Linked DNA regions of Cricetulus griseus. The main gene of each other region encodes a partner of the protein of the gene in region 2 in a complex. Links are inferred from orthologs where the notes say so. Each region holds a gene or a part of one and is shown on either strand. Other genes may lie near its edges.

Region 1 (6,314 bases), about 63 Mb from region 2:
GTCAAGAAGGTGTCAGGCGTGGGTGGTACCACTTATGAGATTTCTGTGTGAATCTTGGCACCTCCCCTCCCCCACACCTCTACACCTACACCAAAGGGCCTCAGGTGGCCACCTTCTTTCCCTCAAGGGGCTCCCTTACTTTGCATGGACATTTTTAAACTACCGATTCCAAGAGGATGAGGCTTGTTTTACAAAATGCCATGGGGTTGAGGAGAGTTGGGGCCCTGAGTCAGGGGTGGCAATCCCCCCCTTTGATTTATAAGACCTTCCCTTCTTTGATCCCTGGACCAGACTCAGTGGACATTTGTGCAATTGCTCACCCTGGAGGGAACCAGATCATTTTTAAACCAGAAATAATTTTTTTTATTATTGTTACGGATTCTATTTTTTTCCTCTTCTCCGTTACCAGGTGTGTGTGTACATATATATATATTATAAATATCAAAGAAATTATATATCTATCCTGGGATGGGAAAACAAGGGAGGGATATATAGATATATATATAAGGAGGGGGATTTTATTCTTCCCTTTCCTTAGACCAGCAGGAAAAAGAGACATTAAAGTCTTCCTTTTCCCCATGGTTCCCTCTCTTTTGTCCCAGTTATCAACTAAGGAAATAGCACCCTCTGCTGGTGCTAAGTGATTAGGAAAGAAACCTGGGTAAGTCTGGGGTTCTTGGTCAGATAAAGGAACTTGCAGAGTTTTCTAGGCTCATTGACATCCTTTTCCCAGGAAAGGGGTCACAGTTTCATGATGGTGGTGGGAGATCAGGAAAAGAACTTGATCTACTTTACAAAACATCAGGCAACCTCCCTCCCCCCATTTTTGGGTGATAGGGATTGTGGTGGGCTTAGTGGACCTCTTCAATGCTTCCCTATTACTTACAGTTAAAATGATCTTAAAAATCCAAGGCCAGAAGAGAAGAATCCAAAAAGCAATATTTTTCATCATATGCCAAAAATGGGATAGAGAGAAGGAGTGGCAGACCTAGGCCCCTCCAATTGTCCCCTGGGGTTTACCCCTTAGCCCACCTCAATATGGTGCTGGGTAGAGGGGGTAGCTGGATTCTAACCTTTAAACAGGGAAGACCCCAGCCTCTATACAGAGACCCTTTAATTTTTTTATTCTGATTAGCCATTTTAAACCAACAAAGAATAAAATAAATCCTGATCTAACCAGCTCCCCCTGACTTGTGTTTTATCTGGTTAAGGCAAGGTGAATGGTCTTGTGGGAAGTCAAGAGGAAAGCCTCATTCTCTGGTCTACTTTTTTTCTGGCTGTCAAATTAAATGTCCTACTAGGTGAGAGAAACCTAACTTTTCATAACAAAAACTTCTGTCTTTGAAATATTAGAGAACTGGTGTTATTTCCTCTTTAGAAAGTAGAGGCTGGAGAGATGGCTTAGCAGTTAAAAGCACTGACTGCTATTCCAGAGGACCCAGGTTCAATTCCTAGTACCCACATGGCAGTTCTCAACTATCTGTAACTCCAAGATCTGACACCCTCACACAGACATACATGCAGGCAAAACACTAATGCACATTAAAGTAAATTATTATTATTATTATTTGGGTTTTTTGAGACAGGGCTCCTCTGTGGCTTTGGAGGCTGCCCTGGAACTAGCTCTTAGACCAGGCTGGTCTCGAACTCAGAGAGATCCGCCTGCCTCTGCCTCCTGAGTGCTGGGATCAAAGGTGTGTGCCACCACCGCCCAGCAAAAGTAAATCAAAAGCCAGCCTTTGATCCCAGAACTTGGGAGGTAGAGGCAGGTGGGTCTCTTGAGCTTGTGTTCCCGAATAGTCTGCCTGACAGGGTTACATGGTAAGATGCTGTTCCAGAAAACAAACCAAAAACTTTGTTTTTCCCAAACAACTAAATCCATTTTTTCTTAAACTAAAGAATAAGAGAAGCATTATACTTCTTGCCAGAGATTCATTTAAAAAGCACACAGGAAAAAAAGACAAGGGAAAAGATAAGCTTGGCTAGCTGGAGCCTATCCTGGAGCTCACTCTGTAGACTAGGCTGGCTTTGAACTCAGAGATCCTCCTGCCTCTGCCTCTCGAGTGCTGGGATTAAAGGCGTGTGCCACCACCAACGCCTGGCCAGGCTTTTTTTCCTCCTGCTAAAATACAGTGGTAATGGTGGGAGGTTTTTTTTTAATAGTCCCTGTTATATATCAACACAGGCATAAACCTTACTTTGGCTAACTTTCCTGATGGGTTGAATATAATCCAGGCACTTGGCAGTGAACATTATAGGCAAAATATTATAGCAAACTGCTGATTTTTGACCATGTTCTCTGCTCTAATTTTGAATTTCTTGGCCTAGGGAAATAATGTGATGACAAAATCTAAAATCTTTTATGTCTTAGCAGTGCCTTATCTTAAACTGCCTCATACAGAATGACACTTGCCTCTTAAAAAGGTAGCCATACTAGCCAGTCTGTTAAAGACACCTTTTTTTTTTTTAAAAAAAAAAGAAAAACCCTAACAAATGAACTCCTGAAATCAAATTACACAAAAGTGGGGGGACAAAAAAACAAAAACAGCTTTTTGTGAAAAGGTATGTCTATGAAAAAGCCAACTGGACTAAACCATAAAAAAGCATGGCCCTTCTCTAAAAGTGTATTAGTCACAAGTACAGCAGGGGCTGGCTTCTGTCTAGTTGTTAGATATCCCAAGGCAATGCCTGGAAGACAGTTTTGTCAGCAGGAAAGCCATCCTTGGCAGAGTTCAGTAGTCCTGTTAGCGGAGGCTGCTGCTGCTGCTGGCCTGGGAACTTCCCATACCTGGGTGGTCTGGACTATGTCGGTTCTAGAGGAGACAAAAGGAATAAGAACATTTAGAAATTAAAAAATGACCTTGCTGGATATGGTACATGCCTTTGATCCCAGCCCTCTACAGAGAGGCAGAGGCAAGCAGATCTTCTGGGGTAGAAGCCAGCCTAGTCTATATAGTGAATTCCAGGCCAGCCAAAGCTACATCTCAAGCCATTGTCTCAAAACAACAAAAAAAACCTAAGTAAACCTATGGAGCCTGCTAACATAGATTTGTAACCTCAGTTGCTTTGGAGGTAGAGTTAGGAGGACTGCACATTCAAGGCCTACCTGGGCAACTCAGTGAAACTGTCTCAAAAATTATCAATAAACAAGCAAAATAAGCCAGGTGGTGGCGCATTCCTTTAATCCCAGCACTCTATGAGTTCGAGACCAGTCTGGTTTACAAGAGCAAGTTCCAGGACAGGAACCAAAACTACACAGAGACACCCTGCCTCGCAAAACCAAAAATAAGCAAAATAAAAAATTTTTAAAAGGAGACTAGATATGGCTCAATGTTAAGACACTACCTCAAAGGAAAAGAGTCAAAGTCAAAGAACTAGCTTTGGCCAGGATTGTAAAAGAAAAATGTTTGCCCTGGATTTGCCCTGCTCTTGGGTCCAACTTGAGGCAAAGGATTCTATTTAAGAAGGGTGAGATGGGGGCTGGAGAGATGGCTCTGGTTATGAGCAAGTACTGTCTTGTAGAAAACCCCAGTACAGTTCCCAGCACTACATAGAGTGGTAGTGATACAGCTCCATGGCCGAAGCTCTTTTCTGGTCTCTGTGGGCATTGCACTAGTGTAGAGAAACACATATACATAAATTAAAACAAAAAACCAGTTACTACAACAACCCTCTACCTTCTTCTTTTTCTTCTCTTTCTTCTTCCTTTTCCGTTCAGGATCCTCTTCTTTTTTCTTTTTCTTCTTTTTGTGATCTGAATCAGATGGCGTTTCTGTAGGAGACATTAAGAGCTTATAACCTTAAGTTTGATTTGAGTTTAAGATCTACTGCTATGGGCTGCAGAGATGGCTCAGGGGTTAAGAGCACTGACTTCTCCCAGAGGTCTTGAGTTCAATTCCAGATGGCTCACAACCATCTGTAATGGGATCTGGTGCCCTCTTCTGGCATGCCCTGTATACATGATAAATATATGTTTAAAAAAAAAAAAAAAAAAAAAAGATCTACTGCTATGAACTCTTAAGGCTACAGGAAAACCTAATACCAGGGGAACTGCTTTTTTTCTGCGTGTTCAGAAAGGATATAGAGGTGCTGGCAGAGCAGCTGTGCTAAGTCACTGCTTGTCCAAGAAATGTCAACACATGTATTTCTTCTTGGAGAAATCTGGGAGTCCAGAGGAACTAAGCTTAACTGAAGGCCATGTAGACTTGGGCCAGAGTCTTGGTGGTCTGAACAAAAGTGCTTACCTGGGGGAACTGGATCCTGGGTCCTGCTCTGTTTATGCTTGTGCTTATTCTTCTTCTTGGGAGGCTGAATATGCATCAGTCGACACTGCTCTGGCAACTGAGGGTACCAAAGGAAGGTTCAGGTGAGCAGAGAGAGCAACTCCCTGCTTCTAGACTTGGAGATAAAACTACCTCCATGCTTTTGAGGCCTCCCCACTTGTTTTCTTCCTCCCCAAGAAGGGACTTACCGGGCCAGTATGGAGGCGGAAACCAGACAGCATGGTCCCTGTGATTGGATTAAAAGAGCTACTGAGAATAGGAGGCTTCTCAATGAGGGAGCGGAGGCTGCTGTTGTCATGGGAGCCAGGGAGATCAATCATCCCTGGCAGGTCAGGCAGGAAGTTACTTAGCTTCTCCTTCACTTTCTTCCCACAGAACTTATTATAGGCTTGTTCCAGGTTGTAGTGTGTGATTAAATTGGTGCTGCCCGTCAGCTCTGTGCTGCCTAGAAAACAGCAATAATAAAGTTATACTAAAAGCAGATGATAATTTTTTTGTCACCAACCCAGAAGGAATTGAAGGAAAAAACAATGTTTTGGTTTTATCTGTATGTTTATTTGCCTACATATATACATGTGTACCATGTGTGTGTCTGGTGCCTGCAGACATCAGAAGAGGGAGCTGAATCCCCTAGAACTGGGGATAGTTGTGAGCTGCCCTAGGAACTGAACCTGGGTCAAGGGTAGCCTATACTCCTAACTATTGAGTTATCTCCTAACTCTCCAGCCCCACGAAAGACTATAGTTTAATATTAATGAGGAATCTATCAAAAAACACAAACTATTGTCTTAGTCACTGTTCTAGTGCTGTGAAGAGACATTACCACAGCAACTCTTATAATTGTGAGAAAGCACTTAATTGGGGGCTTGCTTATAGTTTCAGAGGCTTAATTCATTATCATCATAGTGGGTAGCACGATGGCAGCATGGTGCTGAAGGAGTTGACAGTTACCTACTAATAATCCACAGGCAGAAAGAGAGAGCCTAGACCTGGCATGGGCTTTTGAAACCTCAAAGCACACACTTCCTCCAATAAGGCCACACCTCCTAATCCTTCTAATCTATTCAAGGAGTTTCACTCTCTGGTGACAATAAACATTCAAATAAATGAGCCTATGGGTGCTATCCTTACTCAACAATTATAGGATTCAAAAAGTGTCAAAATTCTGAAGCATTCCAGACTTCACATTTCTGAATTTGGGATTTTTAACCTAGTAAAATTATGCATATATTCTGAAAAACTGCAAATTTGAAACATTTTAGATAAGCATTTTAGGTAACAGACACTAACCCTGTAATAATATGATAGCCAGGTATGGTGGTGCATACCTGTAAGCCTGCAATGCCAGCACTCAAGAAGGCTGATGCAAGACAGTTGCATTTAAGGCCAGCTTGGGCTATATATAGTAAGTTCCTGTCTCAAACACCCTCAACTCAGTAATACATAATAAACACAAAATACTATACTATGGGCTAGAGGAATGGAAATGGAATGAAGCAAAGTAGGGCATATAAAAACTGAAAACAAAACAAAACCAGACTAGCTAGAATAACTTACATGACACTGATTCATGTATTATTCCACTTTATATAAAATGTCTCAGAAACATTTCTGCCTGGATCAGGATAATGGAACCTTGAAGTTTAGTTACAGATACTCTAAAAGTCAAATTTGATGCAGTGACATGAGGGTCTTGTCAGGGGCCCTCTGTTGGCAGTGTATTTACATATTGAGACAGTATCTTGCTAGGTAGTTCTAGCTCACCTCAAACTTGTGGCAACTTCCTGCCTTAGCCTCCTGAGTGCTGGTGTTACAGGTAAGTGCCACCATGCTTTGCATTCTTTTTTTTTAAACAGGAAGACTAGTCACCATAGGCAAACAGATTTTGTGGTTATGATTACCTTGTGACCAACATGTTTATTCTTTATGATACCAAGTATTACCTAGAAAGAACTACTCAACATGAGCAACTAGAACTCTAATACTAGCTGTCCTCTCTGCCATTGTTTCCTTTTATCTAGGTAATGAGAT
Region 2 (5,680 bases):
GGTTGCTGGGAAGGTAGGAGAGACGTGAGGCTGCCGGCGCTGGTGGAGGTTGAGTCAGGAGGCCCTGGCTAATTCACCCTTCCTCTTCCAGAAACCAAAGCCTGCATCTGTGGATGCTAACACCAAGCTGACGAGGTCTCTGCCTTGCCAGGTCTATGTGAACCATGGAGAAAACCTGTAGGTATTTGTCAGGGGTGGGGTAGGTTTAGCCTGGCCCCTCCTGATTCTCCTCTCTCTGTCCCACAGGAAAACAGAGCAGTGGCCCCAGAAACTGATCATGCAGCTCATCCCTCAGCAGCTGCTGGTGAGTCCTGCCAGGCAGGAGCTGCCTGGCCCTTGTCCCCCGTTCCCACATAATCTCCCCTACCTTGTGTTGCCCCGAATGATGCCTGCGTTTTCCCAGACTACCCTACCTTGTGTTGCCCCGAATGATGCCTGCGTTTTCCCAGACTACCCTACCTTGTGTTGCCCCGAATGATGCCTGCGTTTTCCCAGACTACCCTACCTTGTGTTGCCCCGAATGATGCCTGCGTTTTCCCAGACTACCCTACCTTGTGTTGCCCCGAATGATGCCTGCGTTTTCCCAGACTACCCTGGGCCCTCTGTTCCGGAACTCAAGAATGGTCCAGTTTCACTTCACCAACAAGGACCTGGAGTCCCTCAAAGGCCTCTACCGCATCATGGGCAATGGCTTCGTGAGTGGCGGGCACTGACTTCCTTCCCCATCTCTGCCCACAGTCCTGCATCTAGGAGTCGCTGTCTTTCCTTGGGTGTCGTTTGTGGTGCTGCAGTTAGGGCCACATGTCCTAGCATCTGCTGTGTCCCTGTCCCGTGGGCCTGCATTTGTTGATGGTTTGAGATAAGTCTTGCTGTGTAGTAAGACCTCCACCTGGGTGTCCTCCTGCCTCGGGCTCCTGAGGGCTGTTTTGCAGCTATGTGCGGTGCAGTCCAGCCTGGCTTCTCTGGCCCTGTTCTTTCCTGTATCTCCACTTTGTTGCATAGGGCCTGCCCTCATGCCTCATATAACCTTCAGGTCAGCTCACCTTCCTGGGGGCTAGTGGGTTGGAACTTGTGTTTAGGGAAGACCCAAGTGCCTGTGTGTGCATGGGATTAGCGACAGTGACTTCTATGCCCAGAGTTTTCCCCAGGCAGAGATTGTTGATCATCATCCTCTCAGCCCTCTTTACCTCCGCTGACACTGTTGCCTGCTGTACCTCTCTCGTGTCTGTGGGTCTGCTGGGGCTGTTGTCAGGAAGGTCAGCTGGGCCAAGAACCCTCTGTGGTGTGGCTCATCTGCTGTCCTCCTCAGTGAAAACACTGAATTCTGAGGGAATGTTCCAACAAATGGCCTGTTTTTGCTGCAGGCCAGGATACAGAAGGAGAGCTCAGTGACCTCAATGCCTAGGCCTCTCACAGGCTCAAGATGGTTACCTTAGCTTTTGAGTCCCTTTAAACATTTGGAAGAGGCAATGACTTCAGGAAGCGAGAAATGTTCACAACTTCTGACCAGGCCTCCTTTTATCTGGGCCTGGCTGGGTTCCTAGGCTGCACCCCTGTAGGGGAGGACACTCCAGTATCTGGCCTGGGTGGCACTGCCTGTTCTGTGCTGGACTGGGTTAAGGAGAGGGGTGTGTTGATGCACTAGCTGCAAGTCCTGAGAAGTAAACCCAGGTAGCCAAAGCCAGTTAGTTCCCTGAGAGCCCATGGAGACTCTGAATCCCAAAATGGCATCCTTGTGATGTTGCCATTCTCTGGTCCATGCTGGAGGCCCTGGCAGAGATAGAGCCACCTTCAAGGGTCTGACCCTGACTTCCTGCCACCCTCCCCAGTGGAGCCCTGTCCAGTGTGATTTGATGAGATAACCCAGTGCTATATAGTGGGAGACATGAGGTAGAGCCACTCAGTCAGGGTCACCATGGGCTTCTGGTGTGACCTGCTGTCTCCTCGGTGGTCAGCAGGGACTTTGGTCTTGCTGTGCCCTTTGAGTGCCTGTCACTCACAATTTTTTGTTTCCAGGGCAGCTGCTGCGCCAACCTGGCCTCCCTGGCCTTGTACAGTGAGACCTCCCTACCTCTTGCCTATAAGGCTTGTAGAATTTTATAGGCTGAGGTAGGCTAGCCCATGCCTCTCGGGTAGGCTGCTTCTGAAGAGTCTCTGTCCACAGGCGGGCTGCGTGCACTTCCCGCATACAGCCCCATGCGAGGTGCGTGTGCTCATGCTCCTGTACTCATCTAAGAAAAAGATCTTCATGGGCCTCATCCCCTACGACCAGAGTGGCTTTGTCAATGGCATCCGCCAGGTCATCACCAACCACAAGCAGGTCCAGCAGCAGAAGCTGGAGCAGCAGCGAGGGGTGAGTGGTAGTGGCAAGCCAGTGTCCTCTCATAGCTCCCCAGAGCCCAGTCAGCCATAAGCCGCCTGTCTGAGTCCAATGTGCCCCTTGTGTCCTAGCAGAGCAGCTTTAGTCCCTTCTCAGTTTCCACGGCAGTCCCTGATACAGGCCTTCCTTATTGGTCAGGCAGGGTGTGATGCACCTACTAGATGGTATGTCCCCAAAGAAAGGCACCTTCCTCCTACACACCAGGTCCTCCAACAGGTTCAGACAGCCTTCCCTCACCACTGATCTGTCCTCTCTGTCCCCGTGCAGATGGGGGCACAGCAGGCACTTCCAGGCCTGGGCCCCATTCTGGAGGACCAAGCGAGGCCCCCGCAGAACCTAGTGAGGACTTGGGTGGGGACTGGTGGGATTGGGGATGGAGGTTGGGTGGAGCTAGGGCAGTTCCCTACTGCTTGTCCTTGCTCACGCTGTCTGTTCTCCAGCTCCAGCTCCGTGCACCACAGCCCCAGCCTCAGGGTGCTGTGGGGGCCTCTGTGGCTACAGGGCAGCCCCAGCCACAAGGTACTACCCAGGCCCCCACAGGAGCACCCCAGGGTCCTCCAGGAACAGCCCCCGGCCCACCACCTTCTGGACCTATCCTTCGGCCCCAGAACCCTGGGGCCAACCCCCAGTTGCGGAGCCTCCTCCTTAACCCACCACCGGTGAGGCATGGGAATAGAGCAACAGGGAATTGCAGGTTCTTACCCAGTATCTCTGGGAGGAAGGGGTGGGCTGTACCAGCAGGGCCTTTCTGGAGCACAGACTGGGCCCTCTGAGCCATTCTTTGTCTTCCCCAGCCCCAGACTGGGGTACCCCCACCCCAGGCCTCCCTCCACCACCTGCAGCCTCCAGGGGCCCCTGCACTGCTGCCTCCACCACATCAGAGCCTGGGGCAGCCCCAGCTGGGGCCACAACTCCTCCACCCTCCACCTGCCCAGTCTTGGCCCACACAGCTTCCCCAGCGGGCTCCACTGCCAGGTAAGGGTGTTCTAGGGGAGGGTAGAGGTCTAGACTGGGAGTCCTTGCAGCCACTGGCAAGGACCCCATTACCAAAGGGCCTCCCCATAGCTCTAGGGGGCTTAGAGGGCCATTGGGAAGTTTAGCCATGGGAACAATGCCTCAGTGAGTGAGAGCTTTCCATAATCCTTATATGCTGCCCTGGGATGCTGGAAGATACCTTAGGGTCAGTGATGCTGTCGGGGGAAGGGCTCCCAAAGGGTCAAAGGAAAATGTCTGCATCTAATTGGGCTTAGAAGGATCCCTGGCTCTGGTGGTCCCTGGAGCTTCCTAGAAACCTGACTGCCTTGGGTTCCCAGAAGAGGGGATGAGAGGTCCAGGGTCCTCAATGGTCCCAGGGACCACTGGGAGATGCAGTCCCTTCCCACTGCCCCCCAGGTCAGATGCTGCTGAGCGGGGGTCCCCGGGGCCCGGTCCCCCAGCCGGGCCTGCAGCCCAGCGTCATGGAGGACGACATCCTCATGGACCTCATCTGAACCCAACACCCAATAAAGTTCCTTTTAACGATTCCCGGCTCCCGTCACTGACGCCCCTAGGGCTGTCTTTGCTCTCGCCTTGCAGACTCCCCAAGGCCCCGGCTGGGTGATGCTGGGCCACGGGGGGAGTTGGAGGCAGCATGGTGAGGCCTGGTTCTGGGAGACTCAGAGGCAGGTGGGCAGATAGTGTACAGCTCATGTGCACTCAAGGGGTTACAGAGCCCAGAATGCCTCTGACCCAGCCAGGGTTCCGAGGAGCCTGGAAGGAGAAGCAGCAGTTGGGAGCCAGGAGGTACTAAGGTGCAGATAGCCAAAGCCACAGTAAAGGGACAGGCAAGGTCAGGAGGTGGATGCTCCTGGAGCATGAGCATTACAGGGAGGAGCCAGACTGGAATGCTTGAGACTTGTCCTGGGGACGCAGGACCACAGAGATCTCCAGTGGGGCTGATGTCAGAAAGGCTGGTTTGTAGGAGCAGGGCAGGCCAGAGGCAAGGTCAAAGGACTGTTCCGGTGACACATGCCACACCAGGCAGTCAGGATGTCCCCATGGGACAGTGTGCTGTGCTTGAAGCAGTAGCAATTTAGGTTCTAGTTGGAGGTGTGGGGAAGTGAGGAAGCCCCTGTCTTGCAGGGTGTTCTCAGGTTTGTCTGTAGGTGGTCTCCTTGGAGATGTTGTGAGATATTTGTCACACAGGCATATTAACTGTGAGTGTGGTCTGTGCCTGGACCACCACTGCCTGGGTCTGGGACGCTAGTTAATGTGCAGGTCACTCACTATCCCAGAAGAGAGGCTTCAGTCTAGTGGCCCGTGGGCCACCACAGATGAGTTTTGTTTGGCCTTCCCTGTGTTAGCATGTGTCACTTTTTTCCTTCCAGTTAGCTATAAAACTTAAGTGAAATTCACACACACGCACAATTGCTCCTCAACATGTCGGAAACACTGACACCCTGGGTCTACCCTTCTGCCTGGCAGTAGTAGCTGGGTTTGCCCCATCAGTGGGGCTCATGCTCTTGGGTTCGCCACAGTCCCCACCACTCTCTCTTGCTCTTCCACGGTGAGGCCAAAGCCCTGCCTCCGTCACGGGGCTGGCACCGTGGTGGTTCTGTGGTAGCATTCAGAGAAAAGTGAAATCTTTCTTGTACCCATGTCTCCTTCAAAAGTGGCCAAACGAAAGAAAGAAGGAGAGGGCCGCGTGTTTCGAGAAAAATGGGAGCGAGACTATTTCTTTGTGGAAGTGAAGAACATGCCCACGTGCTTAATATGCAAAAAAAACGTGTCAGTGCTGAAAGAGTACAACCTGAAGCGTCACTATGAGTCCCAGCACAGTAAGAGCTACGACCAGTACACAGCACAGCACCGCGACGTGGTCCTGCAGGAGCTGAAAAGGGCCCTCAGAGCCAGCGAGGCTCTGGAGAACCCGGAGTAGGAGCCACAAGTGATGTGGAGAGAACGTCCGTGTCCTGAACAGAGCTGCATCCTCAAGGCTGCCCTGTGAGTCTGACAAGCTTTTGCAGGCTGAAGTACACAGGAGTCAGAGGCCTTATGGGGTCCGGTTGCCTGACCCACAGCTGTGGCCTTTTGATGGCTGTGCAGAAACTCTGACCACATGGTTAGCTTTATTTATTTGTGGTGGTGGTGATCTCCATGCAGCTGAAGAAGTCTGTGAGGTGGCACCAAGCCAGCCCCTCACTTTGAAGTGGCTTGCTTTTGTGCATGCACACATCAGAATTCATAAGCACAACTACAACCCCATCACAGTGATCGGGCCGTCCATCATGAGGGCCATCCCTAACCTCGATCCCAAGTGGC

What was found. Proteins that work in one complex are often made in the same cells at the same time.
Region 1: Med25 (region 2) and Med19 share a complex: the UniProt entries of both Homo sapiens proteins name them as parts of the mediator complex. The link is inferred for Cricetulus griseus from reciprocal best matches to the Homo sapiens genes MED25 and MED19.

Annotation. Positions count from the first base shown.
Region 1 is NC_048599.1:90,843,506-90,849,819, forward strand, and holds the end of Med19 (mediator of RNA polymerase II transcription subunit 19), read right to left. Parts: intron 4,729-6,314; coding exon 4,472-4,728; intron 4,342-4,471; coding exon 4,245-4,341; intron 3,773-4,244; coding exon 3,678-3,772; intron 2,814-3,677; coding exon 2,745-2,813; 3' UTR 1,916-2,744; downstream 1-1,915. Other genes in the region: palmitoyltransferase ZDHHC5, read left to right, coding at 1-51. UniProt on the Homo sapiens protein: Component of the Mediator complex, a coactivator involved in the regulated transcription of nearly all RNA polymerase II-dependent genes.
Region 2 is NC_048599.1:153,714,123-153,719,802, reverse strand, and holds part of Med25 (mediator of RNA polymerase II transcription subunit 25), read left to right. Parts: intron 1-91; coding exon 92-177; intron 178-246; coding exon 247-304; intron 305-587; coding exon 588-695; intron 696-2,164; coding exon 2,165-2,353; intron 2,354-2,647; coding exon 2,648-2,719; intron 2,720-2,820; coding exon 2,821-3,039; intron 3,040-3,174; coding exon 3,175-3,355; intron 3,356-3,772; coding exon of another isoform or gene 3,773-3,870; exon of another isoform or gene 3,871-3,902; intron 3,903-5,031; coding exon 5,032-5,297; 3' UTR 5,298-5,680. UniProt on the Homo sapiens protein: Component of the Mediator complex, a coactivator involved in the regulated transcription of nearly all RNA polymerase II-dependent genes.